Linked DNA regions of Macaca fascicularis. The main gene of each other region encodes a partner of the protein of the gene in region 4 in a complex. Links are inferred from orthologs where the notes say so. Each region holds a gene or a part of one and is shown on either strand. Other genes may lie near its edges. The genes, in order: IQSEC2, AP3B1, AP1B1 and ARF1.

Region 1 (3,558 bases), on a different chromosome or scaffold from region 4:
TCTCCAGCTCCGCTGGGTGGCAGTCGGGGAGACAGGGAGCAAAGGTCAGGAACAGGAGTGAGAGCCCATCTGACTGACCCTAGCCCTCCGTCCTCCTTCCTCCTCCCTCCTCCCTCCCTCTGTCCCCAGGCTTCCTGTTTTGCCCCTTGGACGACCAGCCCTTGTCTCCCCCAAAACTGCAGCTCCATCACCGAAGTACCCTTAGTGCCCAGCTCCCGTCTTGCACCCTCCCTTCCTGCTCAGCCTTCCCTTCATCCCTCTTGGTGCCTGCTCTCCCTGTTCCATTTCCCTTCCCTTCACTCTTATGACTTCTCCCCTCCCATGCCCTCTTGCAGTCAGGTCTCTCAAAGCACCCCTGCCCTTCAAAAAAGAGCTTCATGGCAGATGGTTCACAGTAAGGACGGGAAGGCCCTTCTAGCCTATGGCAAAGGGCAATCTTTCCAGAGTTCAGTCAGTTCTCAGATACCTTGCTCCAGAGCAGAGGGGCTCCTGGAAGGGCAGGAGCAGGAAACTGACAGGAATCAAATCCTCTATTAAGTGCCAGGCAGTATGCTGGGTGCTACACATACTTGATCTCTCTCAATCCTCACAACAGTTCTGAGGTCAGTATTAGCATCCACATTGTGCAGAGGAGGAAACTGAGAATCCGAGAAGTCTTAGAGCTTGCCCAGGGTCATACAGCTGGAAATGGCGGAGCCGACATTCTGGAAGCAGGTCTGCCTGATTCCAGAGCTTGGGTGCTTCCGGCCTCCTTACAGCCCCACCTCCCCACAGAGCTCACAGAAACATGTGTCTACTGGCCTCCCCTCGTCTTGGGCTGCTAATCCCTCTCTCGGGATTTTCCCAGGGTCTCAAAGGATCTGGTGAACTGAAACTTCTATCCCTGCCTCGCTGAGGAGTAGAGTGGCCCTGGAGCTGTGAAGGCCTCACCAAGGAGCTGTCCGCCGCCTCGTCTCTCTTTTTCTGTCTGCCTGCCTCTTTCTCCTTAACACCATGTTACTTAACTGTGACTGCTTAGCCTGGAGAAGAGAAAACTTGGAGGGCATCGGGAGGAATGAGATGTAATCACTATTTTCCATTATATATATATGATCAAAATGACTTGGTGTGGCCCCTGGAGAGGATAGGCCACTGGGACTCAGCTCAGGAATTGATATGTGGGCAGACGAGGAGAGAGAGTGGGACAGGGAATACAGACTTTTTGAATGCCTAAGATGTGTTGGGACATTTCGGCTACCTTGTCTCATTTCATCTCCTTGACTCCGTGAAGGAGACTTCATTACCCCAAATTCGTGTAGGAAGAAACTGGGGCTAGGCGGGTTAGGCAATTAGCTCCAGTTCACCCAGATAACGAATAGCATACCTGGGACCTAAAACTACAGTCCTACCTCTAATACTCTGATTCTTCTCCCTGATACCTTTCACTAGAAGGAATAGTTGGCTCATAATTAGAGTTTGGGATAATAATGGGGCTGGGAGGTGATGAGCCCCTTGTCACTGAAGGTATTCAAGCAGAGGCTGAAGAATTCTTGAAATGAGCATGGGAAGGTTGGACAAGCTAACCCTCAACTCTGAGATTCTCAGAGGATAGGATTCTTGGTTTCTGCAGGGTACTGTTTCAGGAGATGGGGGAGGAGACGTGGCTGGGCTACTCACACTCCACACGGTATTTCTCCATCTCCTGCACCTCCGCAATGGATTCGCGCAGGTCGGACGTAAAGCGCAGCCGGTCCTGGAGGCTGGGGGCATTGAAGATGATGAGGACTTTTCGCTCCCCACCAGGTACTGCAGACAGCAACTTGATCCCAAACTGGTAATCTGTGGAGAAAGGGGAGACTGGGCACCTCTGTTGGGATTGGTGGAGGTGGCTCATACCTAAAATAATTTTTCTTTTCTGTACTTTTTTTCCTGAGATAACATCTCTCTGTCACCCAGGCTGGAGTACACTGGTGTCATTATGGCTCACTGCGGCCTTGAACTCCTGGGCTCAAGTGATCCTTCTGCCTCAAGCCTCCTGAGTAGCTGGGACCATGGGCACGCACCATATGTGCAGATAATTTTTTTATTTTCAGCAGAGATGGGGTCTTACTATATTGCCCAGGTTGGTCTCGAATTCCTGGGCTCAAGCAATCCTCCTGCCTTGGCCTCCCAAAGTGCTGGGATTACAGGTGTGAGCCGCCATACCTAGCCCATGAAATAATTTTTCTGCTGTCTAACTCTGATCATGCCTCTTCTCCATTTGAGCATATTTAGCAGCTCCCCTGTGCCCCAAAGCCCTCAAACTCCTGGTAGCTGTGGCCCCCTTACTTCCTGTACTGCAGCATGTAAAGGCATACAACTCTGCACTGCTGTCTTGAAACTCTTTCCTTCTCACCTCTACCTCAACTCACATTGCTACTGCTGCCCAGAGTACCATGAAACAAAGCTCCTCCTGGTTCATCCTTCAGAGCACAGCGTGATCACCATCTCTTTGGCCCACCAGAGAACACATGCACTGGGGTTCTCTGCAAGACTATGAGCTAACCAGGGGCTAGACCCGAGTCATACTCCACCCTGGCCTGCCCCTCATCCTGGGACCAAGTAGGTGCTTCGGAGACCCTTAGCCTGGTTGTAAGGGACTCCAAAAACTGGAGCTGGTAGAGATGACGGGTGAGCATGGGGGCCATGACATAGACTCTTGGGAGCTGGGATCCAAGAAGGGACTCACATGAATTCTGGAAGAGCTGCATGTGCATTTCCACGAGGGGGAAAGACTGACGGAAACTGTACGTCACCAAGATCTTCTTCTTCTGGAAAATTTTGGTGACCTTTGGCAGGGGTGGGAAAAAGACAAGAGGCAGCGTTTTGGGTGGGGAATTTCCACGTGGCACCTATTTCTGGTAACCACCCTCCCCTCCCACCCCATTAACAGACATACACACACAAATACACATGCCCACAAGCTGGGGAGAATGGAAGCTTGAGGGACAGAATGGGAGACATGGAAGAAAACGCAAGTTCCTGATGTAATGACCACGCACCACAGACATTTACCACATTTCCAGGAACTAACTGAATCCTGCTCCCTCCAGGAAGCCTGCTCCAACATCCCACAGAGATTTGTAAACCCCTTTTCTGAGCTCCAGAATGATGATTCAGTACCTTTCCCTTGTCAGGCGCTATGCTAGTCCTCTGAGTGTGTGATCACCCCCTGCTGGACTGGAAGGCAGGAGTCTGGTTGTCGGGTTCTGTCAGCGGGCCTCACCAGAGCCTGCACTTAATGGCAATCTCTGCTGAACCCATGTAGAGAGTTAACAAGTCTTCCTCTCAACAACCCAACGTCTTTGTCGAGTACTTGGGCACTCTGGACTCAACTAACACAGGTTGCAAACACCTCAGGCGGTCTGCAAGTGGCTCATAAAAGGAAATGTTTTGATTTCAGGATGGCATGATGACGCAAAGCACTTTTTTAGGTCCTTTGGGCTGTGAGCTCCCTGAGAACAGGGACTAATTCTGATTCATCCTGGCATACCCAGTGCCTGGCATACAGCTGGACGCACACCAGTTTCAGTACCTGAG
Region 2 (4,286 bases), on a different chromosome or scaffold from region 4:
AACTTTTTTGTAAACTTGAAACTATTTCATCAGAGTAAACCATTAAAAACCAGAGCTGAGGAAACAGGGTGAGCTTCAAGTTTTTTACATAAATTATGTCATTCGATTTTTTTAAAAGGCAAGTAATATTACAGTTTTATAAATGAGAAAATGTGGACTCAAGAGAGATTTAATGACCATTTCCAGAACAGGGGTCTCCTTGTTTCTGTACAATTCCATTAGATTGCAGGTCAACAGCCAAATGTTTCTAATCCCTGGAAGCTTCTCTGGTGGTACTACTTAGAGCTATTTAAAGTTTTAAAGCTTTCGTGAGTTGTATGCGCTCACTAATAAAAATACCATACATTTCATCAAGTAGTAAGTAGACATCGAAACTTTTGAGAGAATGGGCTCTAATATTAGAGCCTCTGAGTTCAAATTCAGGCAGTTCAATGTTCTAGCTTTGCGGCCTTTCCCAAGTTAACGATCACGCTCCAATTTCCTCACGTGTAAAGTGGGAGCAGCTGGTAATAACCTGCAGGGTTGTTAAGAAAACTGAATGAGATAATAAATGTAAAGTGGTGCCACAAACACTCAATAAATATCTTTTGGGGAACACAATTCAACCATGGTTATTTGCATATATTACATACCACCTCTAATCAATTAGCTACTTTTATTTTAAATCCAACCTATTAGGTCACCTCAAGAGCACTGGTCACAGAGTCAATGGCCATAAGTTTTTTGGGTTTTTTTTTCCAAATCAGGTCAAAATTTGACAAAAATCTTTTTCCTTTTTTTTTTCTTTTTTTGAGACGGAGTCTCACTCTGTCACCCACTAAAGTTAGAGTGCTGTGGCGCGATCTCGGCTCACTGCAGCTTCCACCTCCCAGGTTCAAGCGATTCTCCTGCCTCAGCCTCCAGCTGGGATTACAAGCACGAGGCACCACGCCCGGCTAATTTTTGTATTTTTAGTAGAGACGCGGTTTCACCATGTTGGCCAGGCTGGTATCGAACTCCTGGCCTCAAGTGATCCGCCCGCCTTGGCCTCCCAAAGTGCTGAGATTACAGCCGAGAGCTGCCGTGCCTGGCCCCAAATCTGACAAAAATATAAGAGAAAAGCCGGAAAGAGGAGAGTAGCCGAAACAAGCAAAGTGATCGCGATGGGTTTAGGAAGGCGATCTGGCGTGCTAAATGGCGTTTCCGGAGAAATCCGAAAACTATTGCTTTACAGAAGTATACTAAAGAGCTGCCCTGGGTCTGGAAACCCCTTAAGGGATCAAAATGGATGCAATGGGTATCCTTCTCCAATGACACCCCTCACGGGGTGTTCACAAACCATAAAAGTAAATTAATTTGCAAAACAGATTGATGCCAATTTACAGGTTAATTCAGTCTAAACATTTTGCTAACAGTAAAGGCAACAAGCTCCGTACTTGCTCTAGAACAATGGATCACCAAATGCATATAATGAAAAATTATATGAAATGAAAATGAAAAGTTACCTTACTTTTAAACTTTTCTAACCTGGGAAAAAGGAAACGAAAATATTGTATCGTACATACTATCTATATGATTTTGATCCTCAATACAGCCAAAATGTAATCCCAATTTCAAGTAGTAGCACTTTCTAGACTACCCAATATTGTTAGTAACGTTTAATTTAAATTTTAATTATACCCTCTAACATATCTGCAAAGCTACCAGCACAGCTATTCTACCTTAATTTAGCGTGAATTTAGCGACAGACTATTATGTGACCATATTGCTTAGTAATGAAAGATTTAAAATAAGAGAAACGTAAAAATGATAATTGTGGTAAATTTAACCACTACCACCACCCCAATACCACCATCCCACCCCCCAAACAAACAACTTGGGATTTCTTTCCATTTCTCGGTGATACTTTTTACAAAACTAAGTGTATCTTAACATTCGTTTTTAAACTTCACATTATTAATTTGTAAAAGTTTAGGATTTGTTCATAGTAACACTCTTAAAATATTTTCTATTCATATGCTTATTTTGGATTGGTGTTTTTGTCTGTAGTGCAAAGGATATAATCCAAGAACACTGATACTGGTATAAACCAATTTGTCCATTCAAACAGCCTAAACCCACCTCTCTCCTCCTACACTCCGGGGTCACAAAATAACTTCCCACAAGCAACACTCGCACTCTCACCTTGACCAAAACACTCGTTTCACCCTAATCAGGGAATGTATCAAAGTCTGATCCGGCGAACGATAAATAAACTTAGAAGACTATGCTCAAAATTCAGATTCCTGAGCCCAGACCAAGTCCAATTCAATCAGTGTCTTCAGGGGTGGGATCTAAGCTCACCAAGCGGTTTCCTTTTCACTAAAGTTTGAAAACTACTAGAGACCCCTACACACACACGCCCCAAACTCCCCCAACTCCCACCACCGCCAACCAACCCCACCCACCCACCCGTGGGACACGTTACCGCCCAGCTCTGCTCAGATCTCAGGGCGACCCCGCTCCACTCCAGGGAGCCCACCCGGCGCCCACTCCTCCGAGTCCCCAGCTCCTCCCTCCCATCCCCGTACCCCAAACCTTTCTCCTCACTTCTTCAAATCGCTGCTAAAGAGGCCGAAGGCCCCCGAGGGGGAAATGGTTGAGGTCGCCTCCTGACCCAGCTCCGTCGCCTCCCCTCCTCCGGACTGCTCATTGTAAGAAAAACTGTTGCTGGACATTGCCGCGGTGCTGGCGGGTGCGGGGTTGGTCCTGCCGGGGGTTCTCTCCGAAAGGTTCCAGTCCAGAGGGCACCGAACAAAACTAGTTCGCGTACCGAGGAGCGCGCGCAGGCGCTTCCGGACTCGTCACCGCTCCCTGAGCCGACCTAGCAGTCCACCCCCTGCGCATGCGCAGTGTGCGGGAAGGCAGGATACCACCCGGGCCGTCCAGGCCTGCGCGGATTTCCCTGCTCCGGGCTTTAGAGGTAGCTGAGCGGCTGCGAGCCTGGCTGCGGAAAGGGAGGCAGCGGGTGGCGAACTGCCAGGCTCCCGGCCCGTGAGGGGTGTCATTGGAGAAGGATACCCATTGCATCCATTTTGATCCCTTAAGGGGTTTCCAGACCCAGGGCAGCTCTTTAGTATACTTTTGTAAAGCAATAGTTTTCGGATTTCTCCGGAAACGCCATTTAGCACGCCAGATCACCTTTCCTAAACCCATCGCGATCACTTTGCTTGTTTCGGCTACTCTCCTCTTTCCGGCTTTGCCTTACTTTCATATCCACCCGAAACAACTTTTCTCCCAGACTTTAAGGAGGCCTCTCCCAACGATGGTTTGGAGGATCCGCACAGAAGCGACCATTCCATCCTTGCAACGAAAATCTTGGAGGCAGACCGGCGCGGTGGCTCACGCCAGTAGGGCACTTCGGGAAGCCGAGGCGGGCGGATCACTTGAGGCCAAGAGTTCGAGACCAGCCTTGGCAAAATAGCGAGACCCTGTCTCTGCAAAAAATATAAAAATTAGCCGGCGTGGTGGCTCGCGCCTGTGGTCCCAGCTACTGAGCCTGAGGTGGGAGGTTCACTCAAACCCAGGAGGAGGGGGTAGCGATGAGTTGAGATCGCGCCTTTGCACTCCAGCCTGGGCGACAGAGCGAGACCCTGTCTCAAAAAAATTAAAAAGAACAGAAAACATCTTGGGACCACCAGTTCCAGTTTAGAGCTGAAGTGGTGCGTCCTACTGGCGTCTAGCTACCAAAAATAAAATGGACCACCTTGCGCGCCAGGCGCAGCTGTCATCTGACACTTCTGTGTCCTGTCGCCGTCGTGTCACTCACTAATATGCACTAGGGAGCCTAGGCGGGATGCTTGCCTGGCCCCGGAGTAGCTCTCTCCGGGTGCTGGCACCCGAGAAAACCTCTTTCCAGGAGTGACTTCCCCCAGCCCGCCTTCTCGGTTGGGTTTCAGAGCCTTCCCTCTCTTCTCCCCAGTGCCTCCCGTCCAGGTAGGCGTTAACTCCCAAAGCCTTGGCGGCCAGGTACTGAAACTGTCAAGGGATTCTACCAGGTAGAACGCGAACGTGGAGACCGGCAGCCTCTGGGAAGGCGGTGGGGCGTTTTCAAGGATCAAAGTATGATCTCCAAGTTTCAAAAGGTCAGACTGTCACTGTGGAAGCACGCACGAGCGTGGCTCTGGGTGGGAGAAGAAGGAATGTCCTCCAAACTTCATCGTCTGGTTAAATATTGGCAGGTTTTTAATTCGACTGTTAGAATACTGCTCCGGAGATCCAATGATGATCACCTAAAATGTGTTTGTCAATATTAATGATGTTAATTA
Region 3 (3,558 bases), on a different chromosome or scaffold from region 4:
AGTCTGGCCACTGCTTCCACCCACAAGAGCCCTCATGGTCCAGCTGCCGCAGCACTCCTCCTCCCTGCTGCAGAATCCCCTGGGGCCGGTGCTTCTGCCCCACCCCTTCCCTGCACACGCAGCCATCTTTCTCAAGTGCAAATCAGACTGGTTCATACCTTTGCTTAAACCTTTCCAAAGCCTCCGGCTGTGCCAGGATCAACAAGAAACGCTCAGCCTGGCCCACCAGCCTCGCCAGCTTCTTCCTTTGCTGATCCCTAGTCTAGCCAGGAGTCTTGGGGGTGTGCCCTAGGTGGCACAGTGGGCATCTTCAGGTGGCATAACATAGTGGGCTGGAGTCAGGGATGCTGGACGTCCTACCATGGGGACAACCACCCCACAACAAGCAACTGTCCTGCATCCTTCCAGTATTTGCTGCATGGTTTCAACATATCCTGAGACTTCCAGGAACACAATTCTCAGGAAAATCAAGGGAAGACTGTTGTTTATCTTACTCCGAACCTTAGTGGGAGTCAGCGACCACTTCAGAAACAAATGGCACCACTGGCCAAACCACTCATGGGGTCCAGGCTACAAACACCCAGACTGTGGTTGCCACAGTCACAGTGACTTTGCCCTGCAGCAAACACCTGGCAACTTCATATCTTCCGGGGTGAGTGGGCAGGCATGCCCAGACGCTTATAACATTGATACATACACTTGTATTCTCTTCCTTTTATGTCTCCTCCATGCAGTGAAAGCATCTGAGTATTTTTGGAATGCTGTGTGTAGGTAGGTTACACAGCCCACCAATTGCATTTAAGGAGAGGAACAGTGACAATGTAAAATGTCGATGATGACTAAGGGGTGCTGGGTCTGATGGCACTGAGAACTACTGCTCCCACCTGACAGGCCTCTGCTGATTCCCTGACAGAGGCCAGGGTCTCCCTTCCCTCCAGGCCTTACCACAGGCTGTTCCCTTGGTCTGGAGCCCCTACCCGCTTCTGTTCAGCTAATGAGGTCCTGTGACTCCTCCGGAAAGCCTGCCTAGGCATCCACCAAGCCTGACTTAGCTCCTTTTCCTCGGTGCCCCCGTGGCCCCCAGCTTCCCTCATCAGCGCTGGCCTGAGCCAATTCCACAGCCGAGGCCATTTAAAGGAGCCCACATGCCAATCTCTATAACTTCTCTCTGCTCCTGCCAAGAGAGAAGACAAGTGACTTACTGCTTTGGGGGCTACATATGATCCTGACAGGGTGCCCACGCCACTGGTTAGGTCAAAGAGGTCACTCAGGCCACTGCCGATGGGTGCTCCAAGACTGGCTGGTACTGCTGCTGTTGGAGGTGCCACGAAATTGGTGCCCCCAATCTGGAAAGGGAGGGAAAGAGTCAGAGGCAGGCATCAAGAGGCAAGGACATCAAGGGCTGGGAATGAGTAGAGCCACCTGGCTCTTTAGAATACACTGGGGGTGGGGGGGCAGGACAGCCTCCATATCAACTCGAAATTACAGAAACAAGACAGAGAGAGGTGGGTGGAGTAGAGAGGCTGAGCCCTCCCGTGCCCTGTAAGCCTTGAGCCTTAGAAGTAACCTCTGGGAAAGGGCTGGGGACACTCCCAAATTGACACTCAGCCCATGGATAAAAGGAGGTCCCAAGACACACGGCTGGGTGGAGACCTGCTATGCAGACGGGTGCTCTCCCTCCAGGACATTAGAGAGGGGTTGTGGGACTGAGGGCTGGCAATCCCTGGGATGACAAGGTGACGCGTCATGGGGTGGTGAGGACTGGGCAAGAATCCATGGCTATGGGGCCTAGTGGTAGCCGAATGCCAGCTGGTCAAGACAGAGACTGCCAGGACGCGGGACCAAGGCAGGGGCTCAGCCGGCGGGGGCTGCTTTGACATCACCCGCCCCTTGGGATGCTGGGCCAGCGCTTTCGGGAGGAGCAAGGATGAAGGCTGGGTGACGCAAGGGTTGAACCATACCCCTTCAGGCTCATCCCCCATCTCCAAGCAGAAGCAGGCAGGTGAAGAGAACAGGCAGCCACATGCAGAGAGAAAAAGCCAGGAAGGAAGACAGAGGAACAAGAGAGAGAAGGGAAAGAGGGAGGAGATTAGTTAACAGTAGCTCCATCCGAGAGGAGAGTGGTGTGAGGCTGTGTTGGGGCCTATGAGAGGCCCAGACCCCGTCTCTATGAAAGGCACTACCCCACACATTTACCCCAGCACCCGTTCTGCACCACAGCCCTTCCTGCCTCACCCTAGCAGCGCTAATTGCCAGTCTCCTGCCCCCATGCTGCCACCGTGCGGACCTGAGTCGAGCACAGTCAAATGAAGAGGCTCAGCCACCCCCAGCACCTGGCCCTGCCAGTTGCCTGAGGAAGCCCCAGGGAGATACCCACGTTAGTCTCACCACTCCCCTCCCTACTGTCTTCCCATTCCCCTCTCTCCCCGGCCTCCCATGCCCTCTCAAATAGGCCTGGCTGGGCTTCTGTTCCCAGCTGGGGCAGCATGAAGCTAAGTGGACACAAGTCTGATTCCTCAAAGCTAGGAACACCCTAGCCTAACAGGGCAAAGGTGACTATGATGCCAGGATCAGGGCAAGGGCTAGGATGGGCCTCCCTGCCCAGGATCTCCTGGGACTCGAAGGTCCAACAAGGGAGTGGAATCCTGTCTGCCACTCAGGGGCTGTGCGACCTTGGAGGGAAGGCTGCCTGGCCTCTCTAAACCTTGGTTTTCTCATCATAAGTAGGGAGCTACACAATCACCTCCGAGGGTAAATGGTAAGAGCTCAATATAATGTACCTGAGGCACTCAGCTGGTGCCTGGCATGGAGGGGCGTTCAGTGACTGCTCCTCTGAGGATCATTATCAACATCATCCAGAGGACACCCATGACATACCAGGCTGTCAAGGCCACCGCCAAGAAGGTCCACAGCTCCCATCTGCACTGAGGAGGTGGTCAGGGGTGGGCCGCTCACTGGGGGGCCGAGGTCCAGGTTGAGGAGGTCACCCAGCAGGTCGCCCTGGGCGGGGATGACATCTGGCTGCTCCCCAGGAGGTGCTCCGGCAGGGGCTGTCTCAGGGCTCTCTGCGCTCTCACTCCTGCCGGGACACAGAAGAGAGAGAAGGTCAGTAGGGCGGAGGCATCAGGATGTCTCAGGAAGGTCAAAGAGACCCCAGCCTCCAGGCGCCTCCCTCAGGACAGGCACTGAGTCTCCTCCCTGTCCCCAACAGCGCTGTCCACACGGCCCCACTGCTTCCCCATTCCCACAGCAGGTCCATCTTTCAGGCCCTCTCTGAGGATGAGTGAAGGGAGAGGGCCGCCTGCTTCTAGCCCTCAGCCCATGCCAAGGAGAAAACTGGAAGCCAGTGCCCTAGGATGGTGCCACCAGGTCACACCAACCACCTGGGAAAAGCAGAGGAGGAGGCACGGACAGGGCTCTGGAATGAGACAGAACCGGTCTGAGTCCCAGCTCTGCTAGTTGTGAGATCCTGGACCAGTCCCTCAAGCTCTCCTTGTCTCTTGTTCCCACCTGAAGAATGGGGACATTTGCTCTCAGAGCTGTTGTTAGGATGGAATG
Region 4 (4,118 bases):
AAGGACATTATGGCTAATCAGCCAGCCTTACTGTCTTCTCATCCCTGTAGATGGTTGAGTGACAGGACCCTGGGGGAGGACCTGAGAGCCTCTTGGGAACAAAAAACATCCAGGACATGTCTGTCAAGTTGCTAACAAGGTCATCTGACCCACCTGAGAATGTGAAACTACCTTCCAAGACGGTGCTGGGCACCTGCACAGCTGTAAGGTGATAAGTGCAACTATGCCTTAAAGAGTTTATAACAACCACAGGAAAATACGAACCTGAGGATGAGGGCAAATCCTGGAATCCCAACATGAAGGGGCTAAACCTTTTCCAAAAGACCACTTCAGATGCTACAGGCAGGATACCCCTACCAACCAACCACACCAATGAGGAGCAGGCACAACACAGAAAACACAAGTTCTCATAATTTAAGATCCCCACTGCAAGGCCTTTTCCTGTTTCTCTCCCAATTACCTCTGACAGTGCACTCTACTTCCTTTCACCCTCTTGAGTTTACCGAGGTGAAAGGTCAGGGGGAGAGGACAGAATGCCTATGAGAGACAGTATGGGCCTGCCAGCCCAGGCTGGCTGCAGCCTCTTGCTCAAGAGAATGGTCACAGCTCAGGAAGAAGTGTGTACAAAAGCTTGGTGAGCATGGCCTGTGAGTAAGAGCTGGTTTAAATACACCAATGAGACATTTAATTTGAAGAATCTAGAAAAAACTGCTTCAACTCTCTGAAACCACAGTCATATACTTTGCGTGTGAACTTGCACAACAGGTTTTTTTCTCTTAGTTAGGTCTACTTCTATGATCACTGCAGCAGCTGACAGTCCATATTAAATTTTACTGAAGTGAAAAATGAAAGGCCAAATGCATCTTCGAAGCTATGGTTTCAAGCCTGTCCAGTCTGTAGGGGCAGATGAGCAGGTGAAGATGTCTGAATGTCCTCTCCATATTGTGCAAGAGGTACAGCGCATAGCTAGACTACATGATGTACAAAATCAGAACTGTGAGGGGCACAGAACCAGTTTTTGCTTTTCACTCACAGTCATTCTGTGACTCAGCTGTTGTCCAAACCAACTGTTTCAAATCTTTTTCAACTAGCAAATCTGAAAAACTGCCTGACAGGCAACAGCATATTCCTACTGCTGCAATGATTTGGATTTATTTTCAACAAGATACACCTAAAGACAAGTGACAGATATTCTCCGGTCTACCAACATGTGAAAACGTGGACAACACACCTCTAACAATGTGGCCAATCAGATGTGTATACTAACATTTATACTACTCAATTCTTCTCAATTTTGGACCCAGCTAATAGTACGGCATTTCAGGACCTTATGGTTCTGGCTACCTTGGTAGTGCTGGTGAAAATTCAAATTAAATGAGGACATCATCCATGCAGTCACACGTGTTAGACAATGGCTAACGCAAAAGCAGAGGGCCACAGGGGCCGCACACAACCGCACCTCGGCATCTCACACTCCTCCCAACACACTGCGGAAAACGACAGAACCACCAGCCTTGCAACAACCGGCGGCAGAGAAAACTGCTGACCACTAGTTCTGAAACAAGAAATACAACTGCCCACTCCAATAGGGGCAGTGGCACCAACTCTACAGCTCTAAACTAGGCGGCGACTTCGGGGACCATCCAAAGACTCCGACCTCCCTTCTTTTTCTGCCCGCGATTCCGAGCGCATTTCTGCTCAATTCCTGCAAAGCAGCAACTGGCTGCCTGGACGGAAAGGGAGTCCGCCAGGAGGTGCCGTCGGAATGGTTATCTAACACTCTAGGTGCGCACGGCTGTCCAGACCCAATCTCACAAGCCGTAACCACCCAGGCTGTGCCCCGAGAGAGCGCTGGGGCCGGCCTCTGCGGCCTAGAGTCTACGAGCAGGTCGTTCCGCAGGCAAGTTAAAGATTCACCAGCTCAAAAGAGGCCTTCTTATCTACTGCCGACAACGTCAAGGAAACCACCCTGGAGTTAAAGCGAACATCGACCGGCCCTCTGGAAGCCACCGGAGACTTCATACTGACCCCAAATCGCGTCTCACTGTTGTGAAGGGAGGCACTCTGGGCTTCCCCGGAGGTCCACGCATTCCGTTCAGCAGACAGGGAAAGGCGCAGGGTCCCTGTCCACTGCCCGCCCGCTCGCTCTCACCGCCCCTGACCCAGTGCCTTCCTCAGAGGAAACACGAACTGGATGGAGTCGGGAGGCGAAGGTGCAAGCCCCCACCACCTACGTGACCTTGACGGTGTCTTGGGGCCGCCTGAGCCTCAGTTTCCCGGTCCCCGAGGCAGCGGTCCGCCCGGATGCCGCTCGCTAGCCTGTACTCGGGTGGAGGAGGCCCCACAACCCCCACCGGCCCCCGAGACCGCTAACCCCAACTCTCCACGCGCGGGCGGCCTCGGGAAACGTGAGGGGCAGAGGTAAGGGAAGCAGGAAGCCCAGGTTTCCTGGAGAAGAGCCTGGCGTCCCGGCTGACTTCCGGGCGACGGGCGGGGGCAGGGACTGGCAGAGGAGGACAAGGGGCCGCGGGCGACTCCGGGAACCTGTGAGGGGCGCGAGGAGCTCACCGACCCGCCCGCCCTCCCAGCCCCGACTCCCCAGCCTCAGCCCGGCCCGTCCTCGTCCGCCCCCGGCCCGGCCCTGTCGCCGCCGCCGCCGCCGGGATCGAGGTGCCCTTCGCGAACCTCAAGTCGCCCCGAGGCCAGTCCCCAGACCCCGCCGGCTCCAACTTGTGTGCGGCCCACACCGACCCGCGCCCCTCGCCCTCACCTCAGAAGCTGCTGCTTCGAGCCAGGCGTTGGTTTCGCTCCCACAAGATGGCGGCTCTGACGGCGGCCACGTCAGCGCCTGCGGGCGCGGGGAACGTCGGGTAAGAGGCGGAGACGCCGGGAGCTCCGCCCCCCGTGCGCCCGCGACGCAGACGCGCTGGCTCCAGAAGGGCTGCAGGGGGCGGGGCCGGGGACACCCAGCCCCGGGCCGAGGTCCTAGCTCGCGCGCGCCTTAGGGGTGCGCACCCGTCTGCGCCTGCGCCTGTGAGTCTTCCGAAAAGACACCTTGTGGCTGCCACACGCCCGTTTGGCAGATTCGGAGACTGAGGCCCGGGGGGCTGCTGCAGCAACTGGAGCGGCGGGGCCGGGTTGCCACCCTCCTCCTCCCCGACCCGGCAGTCACCGCGAGCCCTCGGGGACCGCGTGAGGACTGGGGTGCGAGGCGCCCCTTCGCTGGGATTGGGGTCCCTGGCTCCCAGGCTGCGCGGGTCCGTGTGCCCCGGCCCTGTGGAAACCTGTGGCACTCGCGGGGCCTCGGCGGAAGGTCCGAAGGAGGGAGGCCTGCTATGTCCCCGCACTGGCCTCGGCGCCCCGGCGGCCGCAGTGACTCGCGCGGGCTCATGCCTGGGCTCATGCCGGGGAGTTGGCTACAGATGAAGCAAAGGAGGAGGTGGCCTGGGGACCCCGGGGGGAGGCCGGGGCTGTGGGGGTGGTGCCCAGAAGGGAGGTCACAGCGGTCTCTAATGAGCTGGCCTTTCAGCTGAGATCCAGTTGAGGCGGAGGAGACCCCGCTCCCAGGAAGCCCTCCTGGATTGGTCAGAAGGGAACAGAGGCCTGGCTCTGCCCACCACCCTCAGGTCTTCTTGCCTCTTCCCTTGTGCAGCTGTGAGGGATTGGGCTTGTGGGAGAGCGTCCGTGCAGCACAGTTCTCTGGGTATTCTGGAGGTCGGGAATCAACCTGATTTGTCCAGGGGGAGGCCCGGGGGCAGGGCCTGAGGGGTGGGGTCACTGGGCCTGGCCCAGGCCTCCTGCGCCCCTTTGCTGCCGCCATCACCTACCTTGCTTGCCCCTTGGGCAGGGCATCCTCACTGCCACTGCAGGCTGCGATAGTCGGAGTTCTCCCCCAGGGCTGCACCTGCGGGGGCTTCGAAGGACCCCAGAAGTGGTGACCCTCCTGCCCCCAAATTCAGTCCCTTTTTCTGCCTGGGGCTCCCCTCTGAAATCTCACCTCTGTGAAGCTGCGGCAGGTTGTCTGTTTAGGGGAAGGATGTCTCCCTCCCACCCTACAGGCATCTCAGATACTCTTGGAAAGCCCCAGGGAGGGGTGTGGATGCCTGTGGAGCCTTCTG

What was found.
Region 1: the proteins of ARF1 (region 4) and IQSEC2 are in contact, whole or in part, in a crystal structure (PDB 6FAE), measured with the Homo sapiens proteins. The link is inferred for Macaca fascicularis from reciprocal best matches to the Homo sapiens genes ARF1 and IQSEC2. Residues at the interface, in NP_001019397.1 of Homo sapiens: Arg19, Gly24, Leu25, Asp26, Ala27, Lys30, Thr31, Ile46, Pro47, Thr48, Ile49, Gly50, Phe51, Asn52, Val53, Glu54, Thr55, Thr64, Trp66, Asp67, Val68, Gly69, Gly70, Gln71, Lys73, Ile74, Pro76, Leu77, Trp78, His80; in NP_001104595.1 of Homo sapiens: Arg810, Gln811, Gln841, Arg845, Val846, Gln847, Gly848, Glu849, Ala850, Gln851, Val853, Glu854, Glu858, Asp879, Phe882, Ile883, Phe886, Ala887, Ile889, Leu890, Asn892, Thr893, Asp894, Tyr896, Ser897, Pro898, Ser899, Val900, Arg904, Met906.
Region 2: the proteins of ARF1 (region 4) and AP3B1 are in contact, whole or in part, in a cryo-EM structure (PDB 9C5B), measured with the Homo sapiens proteins. The link is inferred for Macaca fascicularis from reciprocal best matches to the Homo sapiens genes ARF1 and AP3B1. Residues at the interface, in NP_001019397.1 of Homo sapiens: Glu17, Arg19, Tyr35, Ile46, Pro47, Thr48, Ile49, Gly50, Phe51, Asn52, Val53, Glu54, Lys73, Ile74, Leu77, His80, Tyr81, Asn84; in NP_003655.3 of Homo sapiens: Glu52, Asn54, Pro81, Val84, Lys85, Val87, Ala88, Asp111, Leu112, Leu114, Leu115, Ile117, Ser118, Thr119, Gln121, Arg122.
Region 3: the proteins of ARF1 (region 4) and AP1B1 are in contact, whole or in part, in a cryo-EM structure (PDB 7R4H), measured with the Homo sapiens proteins. The link is inferred for Macaca fascicularis from reciprocal best matches to the Homo sapiens genes ARF1 and AP1B1. Residues at the interface, in NP_001019397.1 of Homo sapiens: Glu17, Met18, Tyr35, Ile46, Thr48, Ile49, Gly50, Phe51, Asn52, Val53, Glu54, Thr64, Trp66, Lys73, Leu77, Arg79, His80, Tyr81, Gln83, Asn84; in NP_001118.3 of Homo sapiens: Asn23, Asp25, Pro52, Asp53, Val55, Asn56, Met58, Gln59, Met83, Ile85, Met86, Ala87, Val88, Asn89, Thr90, Val92, Lys93, Tyr121.

The regions. Positions count from the first base shown.
Region 1 is NC_088395.1:53,223,584-53,227,141, forward strand, and holds part of IQSEC2 (IQ motif and SEC7 domain-containing protein 2), read right to left. Parts: intron 2,808-3,558; coding exon 2,708-2,807; intron 1,819-2,707; coding exon 1,657-1,818; intron 13-1,656; coding exon 1-12. UniProt on the Homo sapiens protein: Is a guanine nucleotide exchange factor for the ARF GTP-binding proteins.
Region 2 is NC_088380.1:82,260,782-82,265,067, forward strand, and holds the start of AP3B1 (AP-3 complex subunit beta-1), read right to left. Parts: upstream 2,816-4,286; 5' UTR 2,697-2,815; coding exon 2,569-2,696; intron 1-2,568. UniProt on the Homo sapiens protein: Subunit of non-clathrin- and clathrin-associated adaptor protein complex 3 (AP-3) that plays a role in protein sorting in the late-Golgi/trans-Golgi network (TGN) and/or endosomes.
Region 3 is NC_088384.1:22,332,004-22,335,561, reverse strand, and holds part of AP1B1 (AP-1 complex subunit beta-1), read right to left. Parts: intron 3,080-3,558; coding exon 2,878-3,079; intron 1,983-2,877; coding exon 1,962-1,982; intron 1,347-1,961; coding exon 1,203-1,346; intron 1-1,202. UniProt on the Homo sapiens protein: Subunit of clathrin-associated adaptor protein complex 1 that plays a role in protein sorting in the late-Golgi/trans-Golgi network (TGN) and/or endosomes.
Region 4 is NC_088375.1:85,991,713-85,995,830, reverse strand, and holds the start of ARF1 (ADP-ribosylation factor 1), read right to left. Parts: upstream 2,839-4,118; 5' UTR 2,091-2,838; coding exon 2,029-2,090; intron 1-2,028. UniProt on the Homo sapiens protein: Small GTPase involved in protein trafficking between different compartments. Modulates vesicle budding and uncoating within the Golgi complex. In its GTP-bound form, triggers the recruitment of coatomer proteins to the Golgi membrane.